4 linked regions of the Arabidopsis thaliana genome follow. The protein of the gene in region 4 binds, or shares a complex with, the protein of the main gene of each other region. Each region holds a gene or a part of one and is shown on either strand. Other genes may lie near its edges.

Region 1 (7,800 bases), 8.6 Mb from region 4:
CTCATTATCTGTTTTTATTCAAGCTTTCATACTCTGTTTTTATGGGCTTTCTTTATTTTCTCGGTTTAGTTATTACGTGGGCTTTAGGTTTTTGATTTTCTTTTCCATTATGCTTTAGGGTTTGATCTTTTGTAATCAACTATTTAAACCTCTCTCCTACGTGAATAGACGGCAGCTTTTTTATTGAATTATTCAGAGCTTTTAAAGCATCTATCTCTTTTGTTTCTCAGCTATTCTGTAAATCAACGAGCTACAAATTTTGTTCTTTGTTCGGTCACTATGTGAATCAACGAACTTAGGACTTGTTACGGTTAGGCTGCGCCAACAACTCCACCATCTACATATACATTTTTGCAGCCATTTTGTTAAATGAATTCTGGAGTTGGAACTTATTTACAATGGCTGTCACTAGCTTATTCAATGCAAAAAGTTAACTACCAAATCAAAGCAAATCTTATTCAAAGGAATATGCTTTTATTCCACGGCCTAATTATTTTTGCCAAAATGGTTAAAATATTTAAAAATTAAATAATCATTTGAAAGAAAACTTTAAATTGATTTAAATTATAAATCTTTTAATAAAAATATTATTAAAAAAAATAAAAAAATAAAAAAATAATTTCACCGAACATGATTAGATAGTAGGACTAGATGGTAGGACATGTTTATAATATTATAATATATAAACTTTACAACAATTAAATAACCATTTGAAAGAAAACTTTTAAATTGATTTGAATTAAATATTTTTTAAATTAAAGTATTATTAAAACAAAAATAACAAAATAATGTCTAGTTTTACTGAACAAGGTTAGTGGTAGGACGGGTTTGGTCGATGGTATTACGAGACGGTATATCACAAGTGAAATCCATTAGATATGTTTAATTTCACTGTGCATGATTAAATGGTATGACAGGTTTGGATCGATAGTAATACGAAACGATATACTACGGGTGAAATCGTAGATATAAACAATTAAATTTTATATATACATTATCTTAAACACTAAACAAAGTAAACAATATTAATAAAACAAATATCTACATATACATTCTATATAACATATTTTATTAAAAACCTAGCCCCGCGGTATACCGCGGGTCAAAATCTAGTATATCCTAAAAATTCACCGAAATCTCTCCAAATCAATTGTTTTTCTAAATTCCACCAAACCCTCCTAAATCTTTAATTGAATACATATATCTCTTTGTGTGTGTAAATTTATATGTATATACATAGAATGTTTGGTTTTGTTTAGACTTTAATTGATAAGTGTTAGTTGAGAACCTGATTGTTGATAACTGCAACACATTATTCAGGTCTCTTCTGTTGAAAATTTTATGGCAATAATCCTTTTCTTGTGGCAATAATCCTTTTCTTAGCGATTCAGGAGGACACGAGGCACACTGATATTTTTTTTGATTACATATACAGATTTGTTCAAATTTAATGTATTGTTTTAGTCTTTTTCTGTTGTCCATTTATTTTCTAGCATACACCTCCACTTTGAAGTTATATTTGTCTTTTTTTGGTAAAAAAAACTAATTTAGTTTAAAAGAAAAAAAAACAGACTTAATAAATAATCCAAATAAATTGTTTCAATCATATACCAAATAAAGTAATGTTTATTTGTTTACTTGTTTACCATCTCCATGGTGTTGTCTATTTCCTAACGATTATCATTGATTTTTTATCTTTTACTTTAAAAATAAAAAGTTAGACAAATCTTGACGAATTTTTTACATACATGAATTTTTTTTGGCAAACCCGATAAAATGGTTCATAGTGATAATAGAACTGAACTGAACATAAATTGAAAAAAAAAAAATCAGCTAATCTATGGGTCTGTGGCAGTTCTAATGACTCTTTCAACAAGATCTAGCCATATTTTAGTGTATGTGAAAGGGCATGCAAAGAAGATATAGTCTTAGGCTTTTCTCGTTTCCCACAAAAATACACTATTTTGAACATTTCATCGCGGTTTTGAATAGTAATTTTAGTTTTAGTTATATAATAACTTATAAAAAAATATTTATAATACAAAAAAATCTTTTTAAATGTATAATCTAATTTTTATGGAAATGTAAAAAGGGTGTTACACTTTTTTCAGTACGTATTAAAAATTTATCTCTCATCACAAAAATCTAAATCACAATATTTAAAAGTATTAACTAGTAAATCTACTTCAAATTAAAGATTATTATTACTATTTAAATATCTCACCAATAAAAACTCATTGATTTTTTCTAATTTCTTACAAAACATTCTCCGTTGGAAATTTTCTTTATATATGTATATTCTAAATTAAAATAAGAAAGAAATATTCATTGTATGGTTAGTCAAAGTACCCACTCACATTAATGGCAACTTGTATATCAGGAAAGATATTTCTGTCTTCAAAATGTTGAATAATTAGATTCTAAAAACTGTATAAAATATTAAAATCTAACCATTTTACTAATATATTTTATATTTTTGTCATAATTAGGTAATTACTATTAAGTTAAAACAGAAACTGATCTACTTCTTAACATGGTTGTGTGTAAATTAATTTATTGTTTAATATGATTCATGAAAAAAGTGTGATACCATTAGTCAACAGTGTGACTCAGATTTACCTCAGCAAAGGAGAGTAAAAACAAAGGAAAGATGATAATATATGTGCCCATAGACTCTTTTCTTGTACTTTTCCTCAATTTTCTAGTGGTGCAATTTTTCGTGTGCATGCTCATATAATTTGTATCATGGGTTCCATTTTTTTCTTGCATCAACCATACTCTATAAGATTATGTTAAGAGTCTTCTACGTCTAAATCATTTTTCCAAAAAAAATTCTGTTCAATTTGAAGGTTTTTGTTAGAAACAAAATCTATGAATTTTATGAAAATTTACTGATTTTTATCGGTTTAGACAATCAGTCAAACCACAAATTTCTTCCTTCAACTAGGGGACCTATTCATATAGTGAACGAAATGAATTTTGCTAAAATATGATTTTGATTTGGGGCGTATCACCTTTTGGTGGATTTTCTAGTTAGATTCACCATCAATTATTTTTTATTGTTCATTTTATAGGTAGTTTTTTTCTCATAATCCGTCCATTTTATTGATATTTTACCTTGATATATATTTTTGTTATAGAGGTTTAATTATATATTTCTTTTTTATATTTCAGGTTTTATTATCTATAGTAATTAAAATGGATGGATCATCGGAAAAAACTACCAATAAATTAGTATCGATTCTACCAAATTATAGGATTGGTAAGACTCTTGGACATGGATCCTTTGCGAAAGTGAAATTAGCACTGCATGTAGCTACTGGTCACAAAGTTGCTATCAAAATTCTTAATCGCTCTAAGATTAAGAACATGGGTATTGAGATCAAAGGTATGTATTATTTACTTCAATTTTGTTACTCTTTTTTCATTTGTACAAAAGATTAGAGGAGGTATAACACCTCTCTAAATGTATATATAGATGTATCTTTATTTTTCTTCACGAGATCTAATAGGTCTACGAGATTTCGGCAACCACCATGATCAATAATTTTTGGTTTTGATAATATAATTACAAGTTTATTTGGTATGGATTGTATTTTAATACTGAGAAATCAGAAAAATATTTTTATTTTAAAATCTGTTTTTTTCTACGAAAATACTTTATCCGAATCTTAGGTCTCGAAGCCGAAAGACTGTTCATTAATATAGGTCACTGTTATGATTTGTTTTTTTTTTTGGACTACTTTATGTGGCAAAAAAATATTACGCTTTATGTCTTATATAATCGTTGTTATTTATTAGTAATCTTAATAAATGAAATTGTTTAAGTCTCTTGTAGTACAAAGGGAGATCAAAATTCTCAGATTTTTGATGCATCCTCATATCATCCGTCAATATGAAGTTATAGAGACGCCAAATGACATTTATGTTGTGATGGAATATGTTAAGTCTGGAGAACTATTTGACTATATTGTAGAGAAAGGTAAATTACAGGAAGACGAGGCTCGTCATCTTTTTCAGCAGGTTTGGTATATATATAGTATTTATCCAAACATTTTGTATTTCATAAAACCTTATATCCTTTTCGATTGGCAACACTTTTATTTAAACCATATATTCTCAGATCATATCTGGTGTAGAGTATTGTCATCGCAATATGATCGTTCATAGAGATCTTAAGCCCGAGAATGTGCTTTTGGATTCGCAATGCAACATAAAGATTGTTGACTTTGGATTGAGTAATGTCATGCATGATGGTCATTTTTTAAAGACTAGTTGTGGAAGCCCTAATTATGCTGCTCCAGAGGTATAAGAGATTAACATATTCTTCATTTTTATTTCATGAATTTGGATATATATTTGAAGTATCAATTACTCACACCTGAAACTTATTTATATAGGTTATTTCAGGAAAACCATATGGACCAGATGTAGATATATGGAGTTGTGGGGTGATATTATATGCTCTGTTGTGTGGTACTCTTCCTTTCGATGACGAAAATATTCCTAATGTATTCGAGAAAATAAAGGTATTAATAAACAACGATCTTTTTATAAAAATCATATATATTACACATGGTTATGAATTTTTTCTCTATTTCTTTAGAGAGGAATGTATACTCTTCCAAATCATTTATCACATTTTGCTAGAGATTTGATACCGAGAATGCTTATGGTTGATCCTACTATGAGAATTAGCATTACTGAGATTCGTCAACATCCTTGGTTCAATAATCATCTTCCTCTTTATCTTTCTATTCCTCCATTAGATACCATAGACCAAGCTAAAAAGGTTAGAATTTGTTTTCATTAAATTGTACCAAAATAACATCATTTTTATGAATTCAGTTAATTTTGTATCAATTTTACTCTTTCTAGATTGAGGAGGAGATAATTCAAAACGTGGTTAACATAGGGTTTGATAGAAACCATGTTGTTGATTCTCTTGCCAATAGAATCCAAAACGAGGTATGAGTGTTTTCATATTTCATATAATAATCCTATTATACTCAAAATAGTTTTATAAATGATACTCAAGTTAAATTTCGTTACTTTAGGCTACAGTTGCATACCATCTAATCCTAGACAACCGAAACCAAAATTCTGTTCCCAATGACCCTTTCCAATCCAAGTTTAAAGAGATTTCGGTACTTACTCTCTTTCTCTACAACCTGAATTTAAGAAAAATAAATAAACATTACTTCTCTATATAATTATATTTTCGTTTTAATCCTACAAATATAGGATGGTATATTTAATTCGACGTTACCAGTTCAAAATATTACTTCACATGTTGGCCATTCATTTTCGGCATTGTATGGACTAAAATCCAATGTCAAAGATGACAAAACATGGACCCTTGGACTTCAGGTTAGTCCATGCATGGTTAATGTTTAATCCATTGTTGTTCATGTTACTTTAGCATTCAATTTCGTCTCATGTTTTCTTAATTTTCTTTCTATTCAAAACAGTTTATCAATATATATATCAAAATAATTGTTTGGAATTTTGACAGTCTCAAGGGAGTCCTTATGATATCATGACTGAAATTTTTAAAGCTCTTCAAAATCTAAAAATATGCTGGAAAAAAATCGGACTCTACAATATAAAATGTAGATGGGTCCGAAGCTTTGCTTACTATAAGAATCATACAATTGAGGATGAATGTGCCATCATCTTACCGACCGTCATCAAATTTGAAATTCAGGTATATTTATCCAATTTAAGATATTATACTATAATTTAATAGTCCATAAATAACAATTTTTTTTGTTTTGATGCGAATATAAAATTATCAACAATTTACATTGTTAAAATCTATTTAGAGCAATTTCTTAAATGCAAACCTAATTTGTATCATTTTGGTTGTTGTTATAGCTATACAAAGTACGCGAAGGCAAATATTTGCTGGACATCCTAAGAATTGATGGACCTCAGTTTATCTTCTTTGATCTATGTGTTGCGTTTCTCAGAGAGCTAGGTGTCCTCTAAAGCTCAACCATCACTGGTGTTTTAGATGATTATTGCGGTTAGCTAGGTCCTCTAAAGCTCATTTCATCAATGTTTTTTCGATGATTATTGCTTCAATGTTTTAAATTCAATTATGTTTTCTATGTTTCTGTATTTATGGATTAAGTAATCCTTGACAATAAACAAAAAAAAAAAGAAGATAGATTGTATTTTTTTTTGCATTAAGTTTTGGAAAATGCATGTACTTTTTACACTTTCTCGATTTATGATGCCAATTTTGTTTGAAAAACACACAGTACATGCATTTTCATAGATTTTTTTATATTTCTAAAATATAATTTAATGAAACCACATTTGATCAATTAACTCTGTTTAGCAAAGTGATTGATCACAGATCAAGTTGAATATATATTTACCTTCTAAGAGATTACAAATCGGTGATTGATCAAACTAAAGACCAAAGATACACAACCAACTCTCATGGAGCTTCACGAGAAACTCCTCAGTCAGACACACAATTTATTTCTCCTCATCTCTTAGAATTCTCATATTGTCTATCCAATTTCGTTTAGTGTGTCTGACTCAAAAACACTCGAGTATCGTCAAAAGTAACGTCAGCAGTATTATATTGTAGCGTACGTTATTCTTCTAGTATTTTTTATTACAAAGAAAACTAAACTGTAACATTAGATTTTTGTCATTGAAACCCATCTATATAAACCAATCAGCATCACTTTGAAAACCATCGTAATAACGTGTTTAACAAAATACCTTTATTTCTACGTCTAATATTTGACTTGGTTTAAGTAGTTTAGAGACTGTTTTTACGAGACACAAAAATCAAAAAACTCTTGTTCTACACAACCGATATAAACCGATGTCAATTCTTTGCTTTCAAAATTAATGAACTTTTGAAGGAATCAAAACCATTTCTTATGGGCTAATATTTTTCTTAAATGGGCCAATATGTATCCATTTAAAGGCCCAAATATTTCAGAACCATCCTACAAATCTCCAGCCTCGTTGTGGTGTGGTGTAGTGTGTTTTGGAGAAAAGGACATTTGCAAATTATTCTATTATTTCAAACTAGTCCCTAAAGTTCTTACTAATAGTGAAAAGAAGCACTAGGAAGACTTCAACAGTGTAGTCAACTTTAAACTTGCAACGAAAGACCAATGTCTCTCTCTCGCATCGTCTTCTTAGTTAGCGATTTCCTCATTTTTCTTATACAATCTGATTCGGATCGAGTTCTTCTTTGATGGGTAATTGAAAAGTTTGAATCTTGTTTACGTAAAAAGCGATCTGATTCAAACCAAAACTGATATTTTTGACGAATCCCAAAGCTGCGTTTTTTGATCTTCAAAGTATGAATCAGGTAAAACTTTGTAAAGCCAAGTTTGATTTCTGAGTATCATCAAATTTATGTGTTTATCTTTAGTGATTTTGTTACCGATTTGATTTGTGTTAGATGAGGAACGGCGATTTAGGGTCAGAATCATTTGGTACTTGCTTGCTTCTGTCTCTTCCAGAAGATGTTATTGCTGTTATAGCACGTTTTGTATCTCCAAGAGACATTTGCAATCTGAGCTTATGCTGCAAAAGTCTATGTGACGTTGTGGATTCAGAAAGGATCTGGCTTGTGCAGTGTGAAGTAGTAAAGGTTCTTCCTTTATCTGAAATAATCCAATGGCGAATTGGGATTTCTTCTTATAAGGCGCTTTGTTGGTTTCTTGGAGAGGTAATGAAGCCTCTTGTTGGTGTTTGGGTTCATCAAAACCCTGAACTTGGGAATGTTGTTTATGTCATGCCTGGTTTCTTGTCTGTTGTTGG
Region 2 (8,490 bases), on a different chromosome or scaffold from region 4:
TGTAGTCATTTTATACATACCGCTATTTAACAAAACTTGTAGAAAAAGGATGTCATTGAATAGAAAAACCTCTAACTCTACCCCAGAATCTGAAAATTTATTTACCTCTTCACTAGCTATCTTCATAAGTAGCTTGCTTTATCGAGTTCAAAATATAATAACACAAATCACATAAAGTTTAAATAATTGATCGAATGATTTTAAGAGCTAATTAGTTAGACTATAAATTGGTGCTTTGAGATTTCGAACAGAAAAACCAAAGTCGAGCTTATTATATAGCTGGTAAGAACTTTGAACAACATTCTAAATCCCCTATATATTAATTGAGAAATACTTTTTAGAAATAACCTTATTTTCATGTGTAATTAAAGAAAATGTCATGCTAACATGTCGTTCTCACATAGCTTCTCAATCCATTTAATTATACACCTAACATTTATTAGAATATTTACAGATTTGCATTAGTTTACTTATATATATATTTTTCAAATTAATTTATGATTTTTCTACTCAATTATTCAAATGAAATTTCAATCAAAATATGCAATTAAGAGATACAAATCTATACAAGATAAAGTATATAGAAATATGCAATTAAGACATACAAACCTACATATATTAGAGCGAGACCGACCCGGTCCATAAAACTTCTAATCCTATATTTTAAAGCCCAATTTGACCATAATAGGGCTACATGACTTTTCCGGGCTTTTTATTTCGAATAAACAAACTTATAATTTATAATATCTCTGAAAAAGAAAGAACATATGTATGACATGAGTCAATCAAAATTTAAATAACCACTAAAACTAAGTTAATTTAAAATAAAAGTTTTGTTGAACCAAAAAAAAAGGAAAGAAAAAGTTTAAAAACAAAGAAATAATCCAATAAATTGTTTAAACTTATACTAAATAAAAATATAAAATCAGAATACTTCAAAGATGTAAGGCACAATTAGAAAACTAGATTTAGGTTTTTCAATTCAAATTTTTTTGTAAAACAATTTTCATATTAACAAAAATATTTAACAAAACAAATATCAAAATATTTATGTAGGACTTTTTGTCCGATCCGATCCTAGCCGGACTAAGCTCCAAAAACATTTAGTCTAAAAGAGCAAATTTTTCAAGACATATATATATTTAACCCGAATTCGCTGTTTTTAGAGTAAGGCCAGGCCAGCATACGAGCATTATCTCTAGTTGACATGCCTAACTATTAGGCTCAACTTTCCACATACATTTATAAAACACTAGTGTTCTAAAATACGGCTTATACGGTGTATCTATACTGTACAGTTGGAAGCAGTACTGTATTATGGTTATACAGTTGTTAAATACAATGAAAGCTATATACGAGTATATACAATGAATTCTGTGTAAAAGGTGTATTAAAAAAAATGCTCAAAAACAAAAACTATGGTATTTTATTGGCAGGAAATTTATTTGGAATATTTTAGGCAAAAAACAATTTCCAAATAAGGGTAAAATAGTCATTAAAAATTTACTGAAAGTAGAAATGAAAATGTCAAATATGAAAGGGTATAACTGAAAAAGGTAGTGTGAAAAGGGCATTCTCAGCAATTATTCTACATTTGAACTATCTATTTTATCTTAATAAACTGTTTTAATTCTATAGACTACATCCATCTTATTGATGATATTTAAATTTTAAATAATAATTCATATACTTTTCAGTATTTAATTTAGTATTTCCTTAAACCAAATTTCAATCTTACATATTCAATTTTGCAATACAATTTAAATATCTATTTTATTATATAAAAATACAATTTAATTCGATTCCATACAATTCATATACAATTTGATTTTGCAATACAAATACAATTTTATTCTATACACTCCATCTTATTGTGTTAGTTTTCCTTCTTAGTTAAGAAAATTTTAAGTTAAATTTTTCGATATAGAAATATAAATTGGTATATGTATTTGTTTTTGTTAAATTTCCTATTTCTTTTAGAAAAAATATTTAAAAAATCTCGATTTTGCAATACAATTTAAATATCTATTTTATTATATAAAAATACAATTTAATTCGATTCCATACAATTCATATACAATTTGATTTTGCAATACAAATATAATTTTATTCTATACACTCCATCTTATTGTGTTAGTTTTCCTTCTTAGTTAAGAAAATTTTAAGTTAAATTTTTTAGATATAGAAATATAAATTGGTGTATGTATTTTTATTGGTTAAATTTCCTATTTCTTTTAGAAAAAATATTTAAAAAATCTCGATTATGCAATACAATTTAAATATCTATTTTATTATAATACAAATACAATTAAATTTGATTGTATACATTTCAAATACAATTCGATTTTGCAATACAAATACAATTTAATTCTATACACTCCATCTTATTGTTAGTTTCCCTTCTTAGTTAAGTAAACTATAACTTATTTTTTTTAGATATAGACATATAAATTAGTATATGTAAATATTTGTTTTTGTTAAATTGCCTATTTCTTTTAGGAAAAAAGTAAAAAAAAATCCGACACAATATCAACATATGAACGATTGACTTGTTACGTGTCACGATCAGTTGAGTTATTAACTTTAAAAACTCTACTTTATATAATAAAATGCGTCTGAAACTTCTTAATTTATCCGCTTTATCATTAGCACGCTTTTATATATAGAAAACTAGATTTTAACCCGCGGTATACCGCGGAGACAATTTATTTTTTAAAGTTACTATATATAAAAATTTGCAAATTATATTTATCTATAAAATATTTTTATTTTATAGTTTACGATTGTTATTAAGTAACGTCCTGTCAAACCCGTCCCGCCAATCCGTCCCGTAAAAAAAATTCACTGATTTTATTTATGATATGTTTATGAATCATTGTCTAAATATTTTTTAATTTTGTAGTAATTAAATGCTATCTAATATCTCTGCGGTTTGATGATTATAATCGAATTATTATAGTCATGTAGAAAAACAATATCAAAAATGATAATTTTGTAGTAATTAAATGATATTAAATATTTCGGAAGTTTTATTTTAGTAACTAATCGTGTAGTTAATGTGGAAAGATTTTGGGAAGATTGTCAAATATTTAATTTAAAGATTTTCTTTCTAATTATCAAAAACAATTATTAAATGCGAGTGGCAGCCACTGTAAATAAACTCCAACTCTAGGATTTATTTCACAAAGTGGCTGCAAAAATGTATATATAGATCATAAAAACAGTAATATAAAAATTTTAAACCTTAAAAAACTAGTTTTTCAAACAAAAACAGAAAATGGGCAAAAAGGCCCTAATTTAAGGGCTTGCAAATGGCAATAAATGTTTATCTGGGTTTTGTGGTTTCTTGATTCGTCATTACCAATTTTCACCATGAAGACTTAAAAAAACCTGACTCAGCTCTGCGTCACCTACGAGTTGGAAATCTGACTTCCCCAAGAATTTCTTCAGATTACATCGTAATTTACAATTCTGCCCTATTTATACCCATCAATCTGATTCTCCTTGTTTCTGTATATTTCTTCGCTCTTTGTTTGAACAATTTATCTGGGTTTTTGATTCTCGGATCTACTCCAAGACGGTTTTCGAAATTAACAAGCTTTTCAGGTAAATTGACTTTTTTTTCTTTGTAAAGGTTTATCAATTTTGTCTTCTAAACTCAAACTTGTGAGTCTCTTGTTTGGTTTCAGACCAAAACCACCATTACAAAGTAGTTATGTCGGTGGTTCTTGTCAGTTTTCTTACAAGCTTATGGTTGGTTTAGATTAGATTTGATGAAATGAAAATTGAGTTGAAGAATGTTTTTTTTTATTTGAGCAAGTTAATATGTTTACTGATGTTTTTCTATAGAGAAGTTGCTAAGAGAGCTTACTTATGAGTTTGATGTTGAATTGGGACACAGGAAATGGATCATTCATCAAATAGATTTGGCAATAATGGAGTGGAATCGATTTTACCGAATTACAAGCTTGGTAAAACTCTTGGAATTGGGTCTTTTGGGAAGGTGAAAATAGCAGAGCATGTTGTCACAGGGCATAAGGTTGCTATCAAAATCCTTAATCGTCGTAAGATCAAGAACATGGAGATGGAAGAGAAAGGTATATACAAGCACCGTTACTTTTAGCTTTAGTGGTTTCTAGAACAAAAGCTTTGATAATCAAATGTTTCTGCTTATTAGGTTTTAGTATGTATTTTTATCTTAATGTATGTATATTTCTTCTTTACAGTGAGGAGGGAGATTAAGATTCTACGGTTGTTTATGCATCCTCATATTATTCGGCAGTATGAGGTAATAGAGACCACGAGTGACATTTATGTTGTGATGGAGTATGTCAAGTCTGGAGAGCTCTTTGATTATATTGTTGAGAAAGGCAGATTACAAGAAGATGAGGCTCGTAACTTTTTCCAGCAGGTTTGTTTTCTCTTTACCATAACCAGTGTGTTTGTAGCGTATCATGTCATCTTTGAGTTTGAGTGTTGTTTGTGTTTGACTCATATCCGAATAGATAATATCTGGTGTAGAGTACTGCCATCGTAATATGGTTGTCCATAGAGACCTGAAGCCTGAGAATTTACTATTGGATTCGAGGTGTAATATTAAGATTGCAGACTTTGGGTTGAGTAATGTTATGCGGGATGGTCATTTTCTAAAGACGAGTTGTGGAAGCCCCAACTACGCTGCTCCCGAGGTATATAGTTTAGTAAAGTTACTGAATTGTTTTTCACCTATGTGACTATGTCTCGTTTCTCTTATGAGTGTCTTATCTCTTACTTCTTGTTGTAGGTTATATCAGGTAAATTATATGCTGGACCTGAAGTAGATGTATGGAGTTGCGGAGTTATATTGTACGCTCTATTATGCGGTACTCTTCCTTTTGATGATGAAAACATTCCCAACCTTTTCAAGAAAATTAAGGTACTGTACGTTATACTTTGATTCAGCTAAAAGACTCTTCTTAAATGGATTCATATGTATGTGAAGTAACTTATCAAGGTGTTTTTTTTCTCTTTAGGGTGGGATTTACACTCTTCCAAGTCATTTATCATCTGAGGCTAGAGACCTGATCCCAAGGATGCTTATAGTTGACCCGGTGAAACGAATCACCATTCCTGAGATCCGTCAACACCGTTGGTTCCAGACTCATCTCCCTCGTTATCTTGCTGTCTCTCCACCGGATACAGTAGAGCAGGCTAAAAAGGTTGGTTTCAGTGCCATTTGGAGATTAATAGAGTTCACTTGCTGTGATAGTAACAATATCTCTTATGTTTTGCAGATCAATGAGGAGATAGTTCAAGAAGTGGTTAACATGGGATTTGATAGAAACCAGGTTTTGGAATCTCTACGCAACAGAACACAAAACGATGTATGTAGTTTCCTGTCTCTAATGCTTTTAATCCCCGAAACTAGTTTCCAATAGTCACTGAAATGCCATTTGCTCCTTGTACCAGGCTACTGTTACATACTACCTGTTATTGGATAACCGGTTCCGTGTTCCAAGTGGCTATCTAGAATCCGAGTTTCAGGAGACAACAGTATGTGTTTTTCTTTCCTCTCAGTAGATAGCTTTCCAACATTTTTGACTAACATGTTCACCTTTTCAACGTTACTCATCTAGGACAGTGGTTCCAATCCTATGCGCACACCTGAAGCGGGCGCTTCACCTGTAGGCCACTGGATTCCTGCACATGTGGATCACTACGGGTTGGGAGCAAGATCACAAGTCCCTGTTGATCGAAAATGGGCTCTTGGACTTCAGGTTTGTTCCTGATTACTGATTCTTTTTGTTCCTCACCATAAAGTCTTCTGAATGCAACACACAATCAGATATCTGTACTCTTTGCCTCTACATAGCCAAATCGATAATCATTCTGTTACCTTGTTGTTTTGAACAGTCTCATGCGCATCCTCGTGAAATCATGAATGAAGTTTTGAAAGCTCTTCAAGAACTCAATGTGTGTTGGAAGAAGATTGGTCACTACAACATGAAATGTCGATGGGTTCCTGGTTTAGCTGATGGTCAGAATACTATGGTCAACAATCAGCTGCACTTCAGAGATGAATCCAGCATCATTGAGGATGACTGTGCCATGACTTCACCCACTGTCATCAAATTTGAACTTCAGGTAACTATAAACTCACACATACATTTGTATCAACAACATTCCTTGGAGAAAATAAACAACTGCCTAGTTCGGTTTGTTAGGGATATGAATCGATCAACGGGGTTTACATTCGTAGAATTGTGCTGGAGCAAAGACTAAGATCCTGATGTTGTTTTATCCCACTAGTAGTAGTTCAACAAAACTAAACCAGCTAGGACATAGACTAAAACCTTCTTTAGAACTTGAACCAACTGTTTTCGAAGAACAATTATACACTTTCTGAGTTCACTTTTGATTTTGAAACAGCTATACAAAGCCCGGGAAGAGAAGTACTTGCTGGATATACAGAGAGTTAACGGTCCGCAGTTTCTCTTCTTGGATCTATGCGCCGCCTTTCTTACAGAGCTTCGTGTGATCTGAATGTTTTAACCATTTGTTGAGACATTTTTTTTCTTTCATGTTCAATGGTTTGTAATAGTAGAGAACATAATATAATATGTGGGTGCAGTGTTTACTTTGCCGGGTTACTTTTATATACCTGGATTCTAAGTTAAACTCTACTGTAATAGTAACTATCCTTTCTTCTTTTTGATGGTTTTTAAGGTTTGATCATGTGTACATAACTTAGCTGTTTCATTCTAACTATTGTATTTCTCCTCTGATGCCAATTTTATACAACGTTTATATCAGACACATTATACATGTCATACCTAAAAACATTGCACGCAGAGTCCATCAAAATTCCATTTCACAAAATTCGGCTACCCAACTTAAGTCCTTAGCATCAATACAAGATGTGGAACACGATATTAATACAGAACATTGGAGAGCTACTTTGTGTGGACAATGCTTCTTGCAAAAGGAGTAAATAGGTCGCCGTCGGACAATAATATATCGGGCTTCAAGGATAAGTCCACCCCAAACATACATTGAATGTGTAGGGTAACACTACAGTACTCATCACACATAAAACCGCTCCTTCGGATTTATTTTGCTGATTTTTCATCATCAGTCGGTTCGGACCGCAAACTTCACACCAATACATCGTTGTACTTATCTCATCCCCATAAGAAAGAGTGAACATATGTTTATCATGCTTATACATTACCTTATGAGGTAATGTAGCACATTTGAAACACAAAGAAAAGTAGTCACACTCAATGCAATTGAATGTTTCCTTTCTGGAATAATGTCCTAGCTCTTTGCAAACTGAAAAATGTCTTCGCTTCTCTCCCGGTTTGGTTGTTAGGAATAAAGGATGCAAATGACTTGGATGGACTAGTGGCTCAGAAATCTTGGCGCATTGCATGTGTAGCAGAAAACAACATCATTCTTTACTACATTCATAGAAGAAACCAGCTTTACACAACCAAGGACAAGCAAAACATGTATCCTTATGATAGTCCATAACACCGTCATAAATTTCTGCCACCTTCGCAGAAAAAGTGTGTATAGCCTTCTTCTCCTGGTTGCCTAAATTTCTGCCAATTTAAGGAAAAACACTTCCACTTGTTATTCGTGGGCCGCAAGACTTCTCCAATCACATGGATTATTCCTTCTTTAAAAGTTACTTGTGCTTGAGGGCAAACTGAAATAAGTTTCTTCAACTTTGAATTTTTGAGATGACGAGGGAGAATATATTGGGCCTATGGGCTTAGTCGGTTTTGATATTTAGAATAGGTTAACTTTATGCTCAAGTTGTAACCTATATATAAACCAAGCAATGTAACCTAAAACCCTAAGAGATTCAGTTTATACAAACAAGAGTTTCTTGACATGGTATCAGAGCAAAACCTAAACTACTCAAGGGTTTGTTCGATTCTATGATCTAAACTTCCGCTAAAACAACTCTGTTTCTTATTTTCTGTTTTTTAAAACTATCTCACAAAGGAGAAAATCATGGCCACGAATTCTGCTACGTCGTCGGCTCTGATAACCTCCACCACCAATCGCCGTACAATATCTCCATACGATTTAACTTCCGGTGAGAACCCCGGAACCGTGATCTCCAAGCCTTTGTTGCGTGGTCCAAACTACGACGAATGGGCCAACAACATATGCTTGGCTTTGAAAGCTAGAAAGAAGTTCGGTTTTGTCGACGGTTCTATACCTCAACCACCAGACGACGATCCCGACTTTGAAGACTGGATTGCTAACAACGCGCTTCTTGTCTCTTGGATCAAACTCACGATTGAAGAAAAGCTCTCTTCGTCCCTATCTCACATCAATGACTCTCATGAACTCTGGACTCATATTCAAAAGAGATTTGGAGTGAAAAACGGCCAGAGAGTTCAAAGATTGAAAACTGAATTGGCAAATTGCAGACAAAGAGGTCTTGCTATCGAAGCATATTACGGCAAACTAACTCAGCTGTGGGGGAGTCTTGCC
Region 3 (8,339 bases), on a different chromosome or scaffold from region 4:
TTTGTCTTCAGGTTGATTGATTCATTGAGCATCTGCTTCAAGTTTGACTTTTTTTTTGTGAAACTTCAATGCTTTTTTGTTTGGCAGCATAAGAGTGTTTAGCTTTGCATCTGTGGTTGGGATCTTCATACTTCTTCCAGTGAATTATATGGGAACAGAGTTTGAAGAGTTTTTCGACCTCCCAAAGAAGTCTATGGATAACTTCAGTATCTCTAATGTTAACGATGGATCAAATAAGTAAAGAACTCGAAGCTATGCTTAAACAGTATCCCGATTTCTACTTGTCCGTAACCGATCTCTTATGCTTGTATGTGTTTTGCTTCAGGCTGTGGATCCACTTTTGCGCAATATACATCTTCACGGCGGTTGTTTGTTCTCTACTTTACTATGTAAGACGCCTTTTGTTTTGTCCATCCATTCTACTTTATATCGCCTATATGGGAACATAAAATAATGTTTGGACTATCTTTGCAGGAGCACAAGTACATTTTAACAAAGCGGATTGCTCATCTTTATTCATCCAAGCCTCAGCCACAAGAATTTACAGTTCTGGTCAGTGGCGTCCCTCTTGTATCCGGGAACAGTATTAGTGAGACAGTAGAAAACTTTTTCAGGGAATATCATTCTTCCTCGTATCTTTCTCATATAGTTGTTCATCGGACAGACAAGTTGAAAGTTCTCATGGTAAGCTTCTACCTACTAAGGATTCTATAAGGCCTTACCTTTTGATATTTCTGGATTTCATATATCTGTTAATATTTGCAGAATGATGCTGAGAAGCTGTACAAGAAGCTTACACGAGTAAAATCCGGAAGCATATCTCGCCAAAAGTCTAGGTGGGGTGGGTTTCTAGGGATGTTTGGGAATAATGTTGATGTGGTTGACCATTACCAAAAGAAGCTTGATAAGTTAGAAGATGACATGAGATTGAAACAGTCTTTATTAGCAGGAGAGGTGAGAATTTGTCTTTTTGTGACTACTTGCATTCTTCAACATATTCATTCCTTTTTTTTTGGCAAACCCTTTTAGGAAGTTCCAGCTGCTTTTGTTTCCTTTAGGACAAGACATGGTGCTGCAATAGCAACAAACATTCAGCAAGGAATAGATCCAACACAATGGCTAACTGAGGCAGCCCCGGAGCCCGAAGATGTTCATTGGCCATTTTTCACTGCATCGTTTGTGAGAAGATGGATCTCCAATGTAGTGGTGCTTGTGGCTTTCGTAGCTCTTTTGATCCTATACATTGTCCCCGTTGTATTGGTTCAAGGTCTTGCTAATCTTCACCAGTTGGAGACTTGGTTCCCTTTTCTAAAAGGAATATTAAATATGTAAGTAAAGCCCTATTTAGATAAAGATGGTTCTTCGTTTCAATTGAACAATTACAAAATCTTCTTTTTTTTCTTATGATTGCAGGAAAATCGTGAGTCAAGTGATTACGGGATATCTTCCGAGTCTCATTTTCCAGCTTTTCCTTCTTATAGTACCACCCATTATGCTTCTACTTTCCTCAATGCAAGGATTCATTTCTCATAGCCAGATTGAGAAATCTGCATGTATCAAGCTTCTAATCTTTACTGTATGGAACAGTTTCTTTGCAAATGTACTGTCCGGATCTGCCCTTTATCGTGTTAATGTGTTCCTTGAACCTAAGACTATTCCTCGTGTGCTTGCTGCAGCTGTGCCAGCACAGGTAAAGAACACAAAATTCAGTATTGAGGTTTCCGGAATTCCCTTTTCGTACCACGAGTCATGTTTATTGTTTAATCTTTGGTGTAGGCATCGTTCTTTGTATCTTATGTTGTGACCTCTGGATGGACTGGTTTATCATCAGAGATCCTCCGTTTGGTTCCTCTTCTTTGGAGTTTCATAACGAAACTTTTCGGCAAGGAAGATGACAAAGAATTTGAGGTTCCTTCAACTCCTTTCTGCCAAGAAATCCCAAGGATTCTATTTTTTGGACTCCTCGGTATAACTTACTTCTTCCTTTCGCCATTGATACTGCCTTTCTTGTTGGTCTACTATTGTCTTGGATATATCATCTACCGCAACCAGGTAACGGAACCAATCTCACTCCTAAGTATAATTCTCTGTTGATCTCTGATAAAATCATATAGGAATCAGCTACACATATTTTCGTTATATGGAATCTCACTTTTATCTTCTCTTTATATGTGATCCCTTTTCTAAATTCTCGAATAGCATCTTTAAACCGAAAGTATTTTTTGGAGCTTCAGTCATGACATAAACGTTACATCAAGAATCCATTTTCTCGTCACATAATTCTTTTTCTTCTTAATGAATCCATTGCAACTTGTTGATAGAAATAACATCACCTTTTTGTGCTGCAGCTCCTAAACGTATATGCGGCCAAGTATGAAACTGGTGGAAAGTTTTGGCCAATAGTTCACAGCTATACTATCTTCTCTTTGGTACTAATGCACATTATTGCAGTCGGATTATTCGGGCTTAAAGAGCTTCCAGTGGCATCTTCTTTAACAATTCCCCTTCCGGTTCTCACGGTCCTTTTCAGCATTTACTGCCAAAGACGGTTTTTACCAAATTTCAAATCTTATCCTACCCAGGTAAAGGCTTTAGAGAAATAGTTACTCATATTTTTGATCCAATGGAAGAAAAATATGGCTAGATAATCTTTTATTCCTAACCTAAACAAAACAAACAGAACATGATGCATAGTCCTTTATTACATTACAGCATCTACTCTAAACCTTTATATGGTGATGATGGATGTTTTACTTTTGCAGTGTCTGGTAAACAAAGATAAAGCAGACGAGAGAGAGCAAAACATGTCTGAATTCTATTCGGAACTCGTTGTTGCTTACCGAGATCCTGCACTTTCGGCATCACAGGACTCGAGAGATATCTCACCTTGAGATCACCTTTTTACTTGAGCTATTGAAGTTTGCTTATGTTGAAGCTGTTGGTTTACTATACCTGGTGCAATCCATGAAAGAACACACTAAACCGGTTGTCTTGTACATTGGGTCTTAACCGAGAATCAAGCGGTTTTTGTCTTGTACATTTGCTTACACTTGGCTTGTGTAAAAAAGAAAAAAAGTTTATGTCAATGTATCTCTCTAAACCGGTTTAAGACGGTACAAACTTTTTGAAAGATGCCAAAACAAAACGGTGGTTAATAATTTTACCACAGAGAATATTTAGCAAAAAGATGATGACTAGATGCCACGTCCGCATGGGGGTATATATTGTAATTAGTCGTAACTCTGGGGGTAATTTAGTTAAAGATTGATCCGTTTATGGAACCAAAAATCAAATAATTTCGTCTTTGATACTTGCTTGCGCCTTATAGGCTACAGGAGCGAGAGCAATGAAAGCGAGAGGAAGAATCTATCAATAATTTCTGGGTTTAAGCTGATCTCTGGATCTTCCTCAATTTTACTTTTTCAGCTCAGAAAATTTTGGGACTTTTTTTTGCTGCATTTTTTGGTTCCGAATTTTCTCCTCCGCCTTTTTTAATTTTTGGTAAGTTTCGATATCTCTCAATTTTCTTATTTCGGAAATAAAAAAAATTCTCGCCCTTTTGCAAATCAATGGATTGATCTTGAAATCGTCATTTCTGAATCGGGTACGAGAGATCCAGTAATCCTCTGCGATTGAATTATTATTAGGGTTCATATTCCGAATTGGGGATAGTCTGAAAATTGCTATTTTAAGCTCTCTTCTTAGTGTTGGTTGGTTTATTCTGGATAATAAAAGGGATCCTAATTCTCGCTAAATTCTCATGTTCAAACGAGTAGATGAGTTTAATTTAGTTTCTTCAACGATCGATCACAGAATCTTCAAAAGTGTAAAAATTACTTGCTTTTTGTTCCTATTACTCTTTTGCAGTTTGTTTTGTGTGTTGTGTACTAGTAGATCTAATATCTCTCTCTCTTTTTTTGTAGAGAATGGATGGATCAGGCACAGGCAGTAGAAGTGGGGTAGAATCGATTCTACCAAATTACAAGCTTGGGAGAACTCTTGGTATTGGTTCCTTTGGTAGGGTGAAGATAGCTGAGCATGCATTGACAGGACATAAGGTTGCTATCAAGATCCTCAATCGTCGCAAAATCAAGAACATGGAGATGGAGGAGAAAGGTACAAGTTTTGTTTTGTGTATCCATTCCACCTTAGTTGTGACTTCACGGTACTCTTGGAATATATAAATATATAGCTTCTTTTTCGTCTTCCTTCCTTTGAACTTATTTGGTCTTTGATGCAGTGAGGAGAGAGATCAAAATCTTGAGACTATTTATGCATCCTCACATCATCCGTCTCTATGAGGTTATAGAGACTCCCACAGATATTTATCTTGTCATGGAGTATGTGAACTCTGGTGAGCTATTTGACTATATTGTTGAGAAGGGTAGATTGCAGGAGGATGAGGCGAGGAACTTTTTTCAGCAGGTATGTTTTTATTTTATTTTATCAACATGTAACTTTCCAAGCAACCATTCGATTTTATATTATATTTGAGAGTTAAGAATTAGCTACTTGGCTTTGATGTAGATAATATCAGGAGTGGAATACTGCCATCGAAACATGGTGGTTCACAGAGACCTCAAGCCTGAAAACTTGCTTTTGGACTCTAAATGCAATGTAAAGATTGCTGATTTTGGCCTGAGCAACATAATGCGAGATGGTCATTTTTTGAAGACAAGTTGTGGAAGTCCAAATTATGCCGCTCCAGAGGTAAGTGCTTCAGCCCTCAGGTATCTGAGGAATACTATAATTAGGCTTGTTTCAAATGATAGGTTATAGTCGAGATCTATAAATTGTTTCAGGTAATTTCGGGCAAGTTATATGCTGGCCCTGAAGTAGATGTCTGGAGCTGTGGTGTGATACTCTACGCTCTTCTCTGTGGGACGCTTCCATTTGATGATGAAAACATTCCCAACCTTTTTAAGAAGATAAAGGTACATTCTATTACTCCTCCTCTTTCGTCTATTTGAACTAATGCTTGAATTTTTTATTTTATTTTTCGTATCACCCTTCGACTGTAACCTTTTTTTTTTCTCTTTTCGTCCTATAGGGAGGGATATACACATTACCTAGCCATTTATCTCCTGGTGCTAGAGATTTGATCCCCCGGATGCTTGTAGTTGACCCCATGAAACGAGTAACCATCCCTGAGATCCGGCAACACCCTTGGTTCCAAGCTCATCTTCCGAGGTATTTAGCTGTTCCTCCTCCAGATACTGTGCAACAGGCAAAAAAGGTAAGCCTAACGTATCTACTCTTATTTTCATTAGAGAAATCTCTATTCCCATTTTTCGATAAAGGCGTAAAAGCGCTGTCTTCATTTGTAGATTGACGAGGAGATTCTCCAAGAAGTTATCAATATGGGATTTGACAGAAACCACCTCATCGAATCGCTCCGCAACCGAACCCAGAATGATGTATGTGTTTCCCACCCACTTGTTCTTTTGCTGTTTCTTTCATTTCAAAGATTAAAAAAAATTCCATCAAAAGATCTTAAATACTGTATTCTTACCGACTGTCTTCCAGGGCACTGTGACGTACTATCTGATACTGGACAATCGTTTCCGTGCCTCTAGTGGTTATCTCGGGGCTGAGTTTCAAGAGACCATGGTTAGTCTTTTTTGTCCTTTTCGACTTTAGCAAAAGATCTTTGACGTAATGCTTCATTGTTTGATTTAATCAGGAAGGTACTCCCCGTATGCATCCAGCAGAAAGCGTTGCTTCACCTGTTAGCCATCGGCTTCCAGGACTGATGGAATATCAAGGAGTTGGCTTGAGATCTCAATACCCTGTTGAGAGAAAATGGGCTCTTGGACTTCAGGTTTTGATATTTTCTGTATTTATGGTATAAAGACTTCAGCTTTTGATATATATGTGATTAATATTGTAACAATTTGATCGCACAGTCTCGGGCTCATCCCCGTGAAATAATGACGGAAGTCCTGAAAGCCCTGCAAGATTTGAATGTATGTTGGAAGAAGATAGGGCACTACAACATGAAGTGCAGATGGGTTCCTAACAGCAGCGCAGATGGTATGCTCAGTAACTCGATGCACGATAACAACTACTTTGGAGACGAGTCCAGCATAATAGAGAACGAAGCAGCTGTTAAGTCGCCCAATGTTGTCAAGTTTGAAATTCAGGTAAATCCTCTTCTCCACTTCATGATACATATCGGTTTCCCGTACGACATTGTTTCTGATGTGTGATTTCGAGTGAAAGAAAGCTTTGTGTATTAGTGTCCATGGCCATTTTTGTAACTGAATTAGAACTAGAGTGAATCTTCATGAATCTAACTATCAATCAATATTTTCTGGGCTTGATGACGTTTGTTATTGTTGATGGTGAAACAGTTGTATAAAACTCGGGACGACAAGTATCTACTGGATTTGCAGAGAGTACAAGGTCCTCAGTTCTTGTTCTTGGATCTGTGTGCTGCTTTTCTTGCTCAGCTCCGAGTCCTCTGAATACTAAACCGGACCTCTTCAAGAATAATCCCCACTTATTCCTTTTTTTTTTTTTTTCTTATTCGTCTAAGAAATTATTTAGAAAACGTAACCCTTTTTTTCTTCTTCTCTTTCTTTCTATTTCTATATGCGTGCTCTACTCAAATACCTCTTTTAACTTAAATGTAAGACTGAGCAAGAGTAAAAAAAAGACACTTTGTACATAACTTGTAGTGCATCATGCCACCAAGATTGATTTTTGTTTTTGTTTACTCCATATTTCTTATGATTAAAATCAATAAGTTAAGGGAAAGACATTTTGACAAAAATTGAAGGAAAGATGTTTAAATTAGTTTCATTGAAAACAAATTAGCAAATTCAGAAGTAGTTGTTTTTGTTTCGTGTATTATTTGATGGGTCAATATTACACTATATTTTTTGTGTAAACAAATTAGCAAATTCAAAAATAGTTGTTTTTTGTTTTTGTCATCCTACTAATATTAAGACATTGAAAAACGAACATTTAGGATGAGCTTGATGTGTTTATTTCGAACTAAGATCCAAAAACTATACAAACTCAAAAACAAGCCCAAAAAGAATTTCAAAAGTTTCCAACGTGTGGTTTTACCTACCAGTTAATCTTCTCCTGCAAAAAAAAAAAAAACACATCAAGTGTGAGATAAACTCTCACAAAAATACAAGGAAATTTGTAATAATAATAAAAAAAGACACAATTATCTTTTGGTAAACCTGAAATTGAATAATTTCACACTGACTTGGGCTTTTTTTTTTAAATGAAAAATTAAACAAATATGGACTACAAATCATGATGGTAGGTAAAAAATGTATATATATCTTTGGCTAAAAATTCTGGTAATTTAATTCGCTTTTTCCCCAAATTTTAACCTCTCTCTATTCGTGGTGGTCTTCGAACACCAACTCTAACATCACTTTCAGTCCTCCGTAATATTTCATTCATCCCATTTGTTTGAAAAATCTTCGGATTCGCCCCAAGATTCGTCAAATCCTGCATGATTTTATCAAAAATTAAAATTGAATTCCAACTGCCGGTTTAGATGGTACCGGGTTCAATTTGACTTACCATATCTTCTTCTGTTTTCTTGTGATTCACGCCAGAGAACAACAACACATCAGAGGGGTCCAGAGAAACGTGCGGCCTAAGAAACGGTTTGTCTTCGTTTATCGTTAACCCGAAAGTGTTCTTAGCAAAAGCCATGCTCATACCACTCACGTGGCTCGCAGATCCTGGCTGGATATAAGTCAGCGTTGAAGCTACGTCATTTTCTTTCCTCTTCTTTGTCCCTGCCCACGCGAACCCGCTCGCTGGTGCCGTGGTTTGAGACAAACTGTTATACGGAAACTCGCTTCGTGTCGTCGCCTGAGACGTCTCTGACGGCGTCTGGACAACAATTTCTGTTTCGGCTTCCTTCTTTGTTTCCTGCTGAAATAATGAACAAAAATTACAAATATCGAACCGGGAAATAGACTCATCGGTTTATTCCGGTACATGAAACACCATAATACCTGGTGGGTTGGTAATCTGTTGAGATTTGTAGGCTCTTTGACTGTTGCCCTACGAGATTTACCCAATTTCTTTGTTGCCAAGTTATCTCTTTTCTTGATACTAACTCTTCTCCTGCATAACAAAGTTTAATTAATTAAATACAACCAATGATATTTATACAATGCGCATGCTAGCAATCATTGATACCTTCGTTGAAGTTCTTCGCGGTACTTAGCATCCATTTCTTTATTAGGAGGATACTTAGGTAATGTCGATGGATCGCAAGCGTAAGGCTGTGTGTTAAAGTACTGAAGAACAACAACAAACCACAGAGAAAACAAAAGAGTTTCAGCTTATTTGATTAGAGT
Region 4 (7,598 bases):
CCAGGAGCTGGACCCATAAATGGAGGTCTCCCGAAATTTCTTGGTCCAGCACCTTGTGGCATGTTTCTGGGGTCAAAACCCCTCTGATGCGGCCAAGGCTTTCCAGGATCCCCTTGAGGAGCTGGCAACACAGGTGGAAGAGGGGAAGCTTGAACTTGCTTCTCATTGCCAGACTCAGTAACAGGAGGCACAGGAACCGGGTAGGGAGGATAAGGTGCATATGGAAAATCTGGACCAGCAGCATGTGGCAGAGGCACCATAGGTGGAAAAGGAGGTGGATGATACGGTACAGCATGCACGAGATAAGGAGGAGGAGGAGGACCATTCTGGTTGCTCCTCGGACCTGGTTTTGAATGACGGCCAGATGGATTCTTGTGTCCAGGATTAGCCTTTCCACCACCCTTAGATTTCGCTTGACCAGTTACGGCCTAAACAACAAAACAAAAGAGCTTTTATGAGCAAAGCTAAGGCTACAAATTCAATGCTAAACAAAAGACTTTCCAATCACACTATAAACCTTTCAAGCCAAGTAAAAGAAAATCACGACAAATAAATAAACGTCATAATCATCATGCATCAAATTCGATCAAAGATTCAATATCACCAACTTAAACCAATCACGAACACAACTGATATCCAGTATCAGATAACTCTCAGCTCTACCAAGTACCACGCACCATTACAATCGGAAAATTAATACTCAATTAAAGCATAATCAAACAACATTGACAAATCAACGGAAAGAAGTCGGTTGTTTGACTAACCGGAGTAGGGATTGGGATAGACGTCGGAATGTTTTTAGACGGCGGAGCAGGTGCAGGCGCCGGAGGATTCTTAGGACGCGGTTGTTGGGCAGCGTCGGCGAGTGCAGGCCACGAATGAGCTCCCATTACAGGAGCGTCAATAGTCTCAACAGGAGAAGTCGTTGTTTTCCACGGAGACTTAGTCCCAATACCACCTTCACGGGTGATCAATTCTCGATCATCGGCCACTGATCCTTCAGTCTCCGCCATCATTAGAAACTTGGAAAGATAAACAGAATCAAAACAAGGAAGCGATTCAATTGGATCAAAAACAGAACGAGGATTGAAGGATCAGATGGAGAAGACGCAATGTGAGGAAGAGAGGTTGAAGAAGGAGGCAAGTGTGTGTGTGTGTTTTGGTGGCGACACTCTTTAAGGGAGGAATAAGCGAGGATGAAACAAACAGTGAAACGTATAACCCCAAAAACCCTAGTTACTTTCCTCTTTTTTTATATGTATATGTTTATTTTATATAGCAATTTCCTATTTTTCCTATTTGAAATTTGACAAAAAATAAGAATAATATTCATGATTTGTTTAATTACTAGTATTACAAATATCCTCTAATCTGGTCTTTATCCTTCGTAATTAAAAACATTCAATTTATTTCTTTTTAATTTTTGTTTTGAGAAAACATCATTTATGTAGGGTTTTAAAAAAATTTAAATTAACTTTATAAACTTATTTTCGTTAGACCTATTTATAACGCGTTTATTTATTAACCTTAGTTTATGTCCTTAAATAGATGTGTTAGAATTTGTGTAGCAATTCTAAGTTATTTTGTACTTTTAATGTGATCTAACAAACTTTTGTTACAACTAAGGATTAGTAGTTGGTAAAAGAGAACGAAGATAACTAGTTATCGCTCTTATAATCTCTTTATTGTTTTATTGTTTAATTCGTTTAAGTTATTTAATTATAATATTTAGTCTTTTAAAAATACGTGAAAAATTATCTGAATTGTTAATATACATATAATAATTTTTATATATATGATGGATATTAACGATGATTTCTGAGGTGAAAACTATTATCTTAATTTTTTTTTTGGGTGAGGCTATTATCTTAATTCTTCAATATGTGAACCTACGAAGAATAAAGTAATTGATGAAGATTTGAATGAATTTTTGTCTCTGAAAATGACATTTGAAGGTGTCTGTGGAAGATTTAGTGTCCACTAGATAAGATTTCTAAACAAAAGGTCAATATATTGATGAAAATTGAAGTGATTGAAATCAAGTTTTTCCAATGATAGTACACTCGTTTGAAGAAAATATGAGGTTGAATCAAAACCTTAGTTCAAAGTAAATGATAAAGCAAAAGCTGAAATCTTACAATTTGAAAGTGACCAATATACAATGCGAGAAAGCAAAAGAAAAAACAATGACTCAACCTATAAGGAAAGTGCATGACAATCACTCATGGCTTAGTGAATAGTGACCATCGCCTTTTACAAGTTTACATTGGCTTTGAAACCCTCCAAACTTTTCGAAACAATCTTTCGACCAATAACTAGTTTACGGGACTAACCAATACAAATCTTGGAAAATGATGATTCTTTGACCATCTCTATTCTAACCCCACCTATTGGAGTTTAAGGCCTTTTCATCGTCACGATACGCATACTATGATCACTGGCTCTAGCAAGATGTTAAGGCACACAAATCGGTGGCAAGGAGGTGACTGGCCCTTGTGTCATTATCCTTCTCAAAGGCATTGAACCAACTTTTTATTCACATTTGTTTATTATATACTAAAAGAAATAAACAAAAAAAAAGTGGATAATTATAAACTTTTGGACGCCAAGTCACTCGTTTATCCATTTGGTACGGATTTTAATGATATCTCTCTCTCAAGAGCCCCTTTTATGCAAAATCTCTTTTTCGCTACCAATGGCATTATTCGTAATTAACTTCTAACTTGAGGGGCGTTTCATTATCTCCTCCTCGTCGTCCTCCCTCCATTTTTCTTCACGTCTGGTTTTCTCTCTCTTTTCCTCTATCTCTCTCCTCTCTTTGTCTCTCTCGCTTCTGTGATTTGGGCTTTTTCAGATGGGAAATGCGAACGGCAAAGACGAAGACGCCGCCGCCGGTAGCGGTGGTGCAGATGTTACCTCGTCCTCGGCGAGATCTAATGGCGGCGATCCTTCTGCACGCAGTCGTCACCGTCGTCCTTCTTCAGACTCTATGAGCAGTTCTCCTCCCGGAAGTCCTGCTCGATCTCCATCTCCTTTCTTATTCGCTCCTCAGGTTCCCTCTCTCGAATATCTCTCTCTGTTTAATCGTTGAATTTGATTTCTGGTTTTGAATTGAATCGATTGAAACATTCGCCCAAAGAGATAATAGTAAGAGAATCTTTTTGATTTGTTTCGTTGAGTAAGAGAATGTTCGTTCACTTGACTTTTCATTTGTTTCACTAATTGTGAGACACTTTCTTCATTTAGATAGGATCCAAGTACAAAATCTCCAGCCTTTTTTTTATGAGTGAACTCTACTTGTTCACTTGATTTGTGTTATCCTGTTGGTTCTTGAGAATTTGTAATGTAGATTCTTGTTCTTAAAGCTTTTTTCTGAGTTGGGTTTAGAGATTCTGTACTAGAGAATCTCTTTTATTTTTGTGTTATCTTGGTTCAGGTATCTTGAAATAATGCATAATGTGGAAAAGTTTCTACCTTTCTTTAAGATGTTGTTTTGGTTTCCTAGCTATTTTTTCTTTATTTTCCAGCCGGTCTCTAGTCATTTACTGGTCGCTCATGATTCTTGATGTCCCTTAGTGAGTCTTTGTGTAATTTATCTTTGTTTCATTGTGAAGAGGGCAACTTTGCAGACTAAGTACGTTTGTGAATGAAATCTTTTGTATAAAGGAATTAGACTTGACTTGGTTTTGTTTGGTTCTTGAGAAGTCAAAAACTCTGGTAAATGACAAGGTAGCTAGTTACTCTTCCTTAGTTTTGGTGGAGAGAGAGAGAGAGGCTTAGATCACCTTATTGCTATGTCTTTTCCTTTTGGTGAGTTAAAATCTTGTTAATCATACTAGAGAATCTGCTTTAGAGAAGGTCTTATTTGTCTTCTGATTATGCCTCCATGCCTGGTGTGGAAAAGCGTATGGCAGTCAAATAGGATGATTATTGTCTCTCTAGGTTTTTATGCTGATTTTGACTTTCCTGCTGCTCTCTGGTCATTTACCAGTTACTGATACTGTTCTGTTGATTTGCATGTCGCATTGTGAGTCTTTTGTGTAATGTCTTTTGCTTTCATTTTTAAGAGGAGGGAGGGCAAGCTTGTTCTTTTCTTCGCCCTTTTTGAATTTAAACACGCAGAGCTTTTACTTGAACGAATTACAGATTTTGGATGTTTCGTCATTCTTCTCATTGTTCTTAATATGTGAATAATTCATAAGATAAGTGAAGGACAACCTTCTAAAATTGACCTTGTTATCAGGTTTTTGTGGGAATAGTGAAATATCTTTTGCTAATAAGGTCTTGTCTGTACTCTGTATGCGAGTAAATTTCTGAGTCTACTGTTGCTATATTCATTTTCGACTCCTTTTCTTTTCAGCCCACATTGTTATTCCACGTTACATCTTACAACATTTGCTCACCTATGCGTCACCTCTTCCATTGTTTAGGCTTAACATGTGTACCTAATGGCTGCATTTCGTGTCGGATGGTAGATATAATGTTTTGACATTCGCAAATTCTTCTTGCACATTGGTTTGTAAGATCTCACGGCTCAGTGTTTATGTGGATATTCTCAGGTTCCCGTGGCTCCATTGCAGAGAGCAAACGCCCCTCCTCCTAATAACATCCAATGGAACCAATCACAGAGAGTTTTTGATAATCCCCCAGAGCAAGGAATCCCTACCATCATTACATGGAACCAAGGAGGTAATGATGTGGCGGTGGAAGGATCATGGGACAATTGGAGATCAAGGTATAATTGACTTTGTTTCTCGTGGACCCTCTCTCGAGATTTCGTGATATATGTTAAAAACAATATGTTTACATTCACCAGGAAGAAGCTGCAGAAATCAGGGAAAGACCACTCGATTCTCTTTGTCCTTCCATCTGGCATATACCACTACAAGGTGATTGTGGACGGTGAATCCAAATACATCCCAGATTTACCCTTTGTAGCAGACGAAGTTGGCAATGTCTGTAACATTCTCGATGTTCATGTAAGTTACTTTCCCACCTCTTTTTTTCTCATGTTAAATCTATCAATCAGCTTAACAGTATCTGCAATCATTATGCATGCAGAACTTTGTGCCAGAAAACCCAGAAAGCATAGTGGAGTTTGAGGCGCCACCATCACCTGATCATAGCTACGGTCAAACCCTACCAGCCGCAGAAGATTACGCGAAAGAGCCACTGGCGGTGCCACCTCAGCTTCATCTAACACTTCTTGGCACTACTGAAGAGACAGCCATAGCCACAAAGCCTCAACATGTGGTGCTTAACCATGTGTTCATAGAGCAAGGATGGACTCCTCAATCCATAGTAGCTTTGGGTTTAACCCACAGGTTCGAGTCTAAGTACATAACTGTTGTCCTCTACAAACCGCTCACACGGTAACCCTAAAAATTCAGTGCCACATTGTTCTCTCTCTTTCTTTCTTTTTCATCTCTCAATTATGTGAAAACATGTTCTTTGTTCATAGTGACTAGTGAGTGCCCAACATTTGAGTTTATTAACCTCTTTCTTACCTGGTTTGTGGTGCTTGTGTACAAAGCTTCTCTCATTGTAACGATTGTTGTTTTATTTTCTGCAAAAACTGTAAAATACATTCGCTAATAATGGCTATAACAAGCTTATCTGCTAGCAACCAAACACATAAATCCTGTTTTTTTTCTTCTTCTGACAAAACGTTTGCGAAAGTGACAAATTTTTGAAAATAATCTTTCTTTTTGGTATTGGAAAAGGCTAACCAGTTTGAAAGTGTACTCATAATAAATCCACGTCGTCTATTTGATTGAAAATTTTAATTTGGATAAGAAAAAGATAAAAGAGAAATAAGGTGAGAAAAAGTGAGCCACACGATGGAGTATGGCGGAAGAAGCATCGACCGAGTAATTGAGACGCTCTGTTTCCAATTACTACTCTCTCGAGCTCCTCCGCTCTGCATTGTCGCCGAGAGTTCCTTTCTTGTCCGACAAACTACTTCTTCTCCTTCGATAAGCCAATTCTGCGCCATAGATTTTTGAAATCTACTGCCGGAAAGGCTGCATGCGATTTCAACTCCCTTTTCCCGGGACAATTCGCAGGTGTGTATTCCTGAAGCTCCGTTGTACTATACTACTATTCCATGTTTCACTTCGAACGAAGAATCAATCATTCGGTAAATTGGATAATTTGGTCACTTGTTCATGACCTGTACATAATCAAATGTGTAGGAGGACGATGATGAATTTGTAGCATGAACTATCGACGTCATGATTCTAGAAATTTATGTTGGAATTAAAGGGCCCAATGAGAAACATACCCAACAATTTATGCTGTTGCTGAAAAGCTTTGCCATCGCATTGTGGATTTCAGCTGTTTTTGCCTTGTCTTTATCACATTTGACGCCATAGTACTATTTGTGTGTATTCTCGTATTTTACAGTTTCTTTGTCCCTTTTGCATTAGTTTCTGTGAATTGAGAAAAGAAACACTCTGTTGCCTGCACTGTTGGGTTCTTTGGAGATAGAATTCTAACATTGACATTACATTTTCATGAAACAGCTTGTGAAGAAGATCAAGAGGTGAACTCTGAGTGATGAGTGAGCCAAAGGTCAGGCGTTGGGTTGGCAAATATGAGGTTGGAAGATTGATCGGTGAATGTAATTTTGGGAAACTGCGGAGTGCTGTTGACACAGAGACAGGAGACCCTGTGGCTTTGATGATCCTTGATAAAGACAAGGTTCTGAAGCATAAGATGGCTGAACAAGTAATTCGCTTTCCTAATCGGCATTTAGTTTTTTCATGCCTCCTTTCTTGTCCATTGATATGCCCATGTTACATTTCTTGAAGTAAAACGTGGTTTCTAAAAGCGAGATTCACAGATAGATCCGTCTTCTGTCCAGAAGTATGATGTGGGTCTTTCCCGTTTGCTTTTACAGATAAAGAGAGAAATTTCTATTATGAAGCTGATCAACCATCCAAATGTAGTGCAGCTTTATGAGGTCTAATTCCATGCCCCAATTTTTTTTCTACGTGTCTCTATTTTCCTTTGATTAACTAGAAATTAACAGCTCCCTGGAGTCTAAGCAAATATGTTGAAAACTAACATTTAATGAAATGATTGATATCATTCCAGGTTTTGGCGAGCAAGGCGAAGATATATATTGTCCTAGAGTTCATCAGTGGTGGAAAGCTTTTTGACAAGATTGTGAGTTTTCCCTTTACCTCCCAAGGGCTTTAACTTGTATCTAATGCATCCTTTGGTATTTGAATCATGAACCAAATGCCCCATGCTCAGCTAAGAAGTTCCTGTATCTTACAGATTAGATAATATATTATTTTGACTTTTATCCAATCCATTAAATTTAAACTTGTGAAGAAAAATGATGGGCGCATGAATGAAGACGAAGCACAGAGATATTTCCAGCAGCTTATCAATGCAGTTGATTACTGCCACAGCAGGGGAGTGTACCACAGAGACTTAAAGGTACAAGGAACATTTTTGGTAACTCTTAGGCCAAGTTTGCAGTGTAGGTTCTTTTAAGTGCAGCTAGTTAGTGCCTAAATTTTTTTCTTCTTTATTTTCTCAATGCAGCCAGAAAATTTGCTTCTTGATGCGCAAGAGAATTTGAAAGT

Evidence for each region.
Region 1: AKINBETA1 (region 4) and SnRK1.3 share a complex: the UniProt entries of both Arabidopsis thaliana proteins name them as parts of the probable heterotrimeric complex.
Region 2: AKINBETA1 (region 4) and KIN11 share a complex: the UniProt entries of both Arabidopsis thaliana proteins name them as parts of the probable heterotrimeric complex.
Region 3: AKINBETA1 (region 4) and KIN10 share a complex: the UniProt entries of both Arabidopsis thaliana proteins name them as parts of the probable heterotrimeric complex.

The regions. Positions count from the first base shown.
Region 1 is NC_003076.8:15,778,709-15,786,508, forward strand, and holds SnRK1.3 (SNF1-related protein kinase 1.3), read left to right. Parts: upstream 1-3,198; coding exon 3,199-3,388; intron 3,389-3,838; coding exon 3,839-4,023; intron 4,024-4,123; coding exon 4,124-4,306; intron 4,307-4,400; coding exon 4,401-4,529; intron 4,530-4,606; coding exon 4,607-4,792; intron 4,793-4,878; coding exon 4,879-4,968; intron 4,969-5,057; coding exon 5,058-5,147; intron 5,148-5,244; coding exon 5,245-5,370; intron 5,371-5,515; coding exon 5,516-5,707; intron 5,708-5,877; coding exon 5,878-5,991; downstream 5,992-7,800. Other genes in the region: AT5G39450 (F-box family protein), read left to right, coding at 7,337-7,345, 7,439-7,800. UniProt on the Arabidopsis thaliana protein: Catalytic subunit of the probable trimeric SNF1-related protein kinase (SnRK) complex, a central regulator of cellular energy homeostasis, which, in response to seemingly unrelated darkness, sugar and stress conditions, activates energy-producing pathways and inhibits energy-consuming processes.
Region 2 is NC_003074.8:11,126,925-11,135,414, reverse strand, and holds KIN11 (SNF1 kinase homolog 11), read left to right. Parts: upstream 1-3,309; 5' UTR 3,310-3,458; exon of another isoform or gene 3,459-3,606; intron 3,607-3,901; 5' UTR 3,902-3,904; coding exon 3,905-4,097; intron 4,098-4,226; coding exon 4,227-4,411; intron 4,412-4,505; coding exon 4,506-4,688; intron 4,689-4,783; coding exon 4,784-4,915; intron 4,916-5,012; coding exon 5,013-5,198; intron 5,199-5,273; coding exon 5,274-5,363; intron 5,364-5,448; coding exon 5,449-5,532; intron 5,533-5,615; coding exon 5,616-5,756; intron 5,757-5,892; coding exon 5,893-6,123; intron 6,124-6,408; coding exon 6,409-6,522; 3' UTR 6,523-6,795; downstream 6,796-8,490. UniProt on the Arabidopsis thaliana protein: Catalytic subunit of the probable trimeric SNF1-related protein kinase (SnRK) complex, a central regulator of cellular energy homeostasis, which, in response to seemingly unrelated darkness, sugar and stress conditions, activates energy-producing pathways and inhibits energy-consuming processes.
Region 3 is NC_003074.8:29,565-37,903, reverse strand, and holds KIN10 (SNF1 kinase homolog 10), read left to right. Parts: upstream 1-3,416; 5' UTR 3,417-3,760; coding exon 3,761-3,826; intron 3,827-3,923; coding exon 3,924-4,116; intron 4,117-4,240; coding exon 4,241-4,425; intron 4,426-4,527; coding exon 4,528-4,710; intron 4,711-4,802; coding exon 4,803-4,934; intron 4,935-5,050; coding exon 5,051-5,236; intron 5,237-5,327; coding exon 5,328-5,417; intron 5,418-5,526; coding exon 5,527-5,610; intron 5,611-5,683; coding exon 5,684-5,821; intron 5,822-5,906; coding exon 5,907-6,143; intron 6,144-6,353; coding exon 6,354-6,467; 3' UTR 6,468-6,723; downstream 6,724-8,339. Other genes in the region: HYP1 (hypothetical protein 1), read left to right, coding at 1-11, 88-237, 326-389, 475-684, 766-954, 1,030-1,328, 1,414-1,690, 1,777-2,052 and 2 more; AT3G01085 (Protein kinase superfamily protein), read right to left, coding at 7,082-7,092, 7,353-7,473, 7,549-7,905, 7,992-8,103, 8,179-8,279. UniProt on the Arabidopsis thaliana protein: Catalytic subunit of the probable trimeric SNF1-related protein kinase (SnRK) complex, a central regulator of cellular energy homeostasis, which, in response to seemingly unrelated darkness, sugar and stress conditions, activates energy-producing pathways and inhibits energy-consuming processes.
Region 4 is NC_003076.8:7,202,864-7,210,461, forward strand, and holds AKINBETA1 (5'-AMP-activated protein kinase beta-2 subunit protein), read left to right. Parts: upstream 1-2,803; 5' UTR 2,804-2,854; coding exon 2,855-3,052; intron 3,053-4,302; exon of another isoform or gene 4,303-4,360; coding exon 4,361-4,471; intron 4,472-4,559; coding exon 4,560-4,735; intron 4,736-4,816; coding exon 4,817-4,979; intron 4,980-5,061; coding exon 5,062-5,376; 3' UTR 5,377-5,633; downstream 5,634-7,598. Other genes in the region: LARP1a (LA RNA-binding protein), read right to left, coding at 1-428, 765-1,016; AT5G21222 (protein kinase family protein), read left to right, coding at 6,559-6,729, 6,902-6,964, 7,099-7,170, 7,342-7,449, 7,558-7,598. UniProt on the Arabidopsis thaliana protein: Regulatory subunit of the probable trimeric SNF1-related protein kinase (SnRK) complex, which may play a role in a signal transduction cascade regulating gene expression and carbohydrate metabolism in higher plants.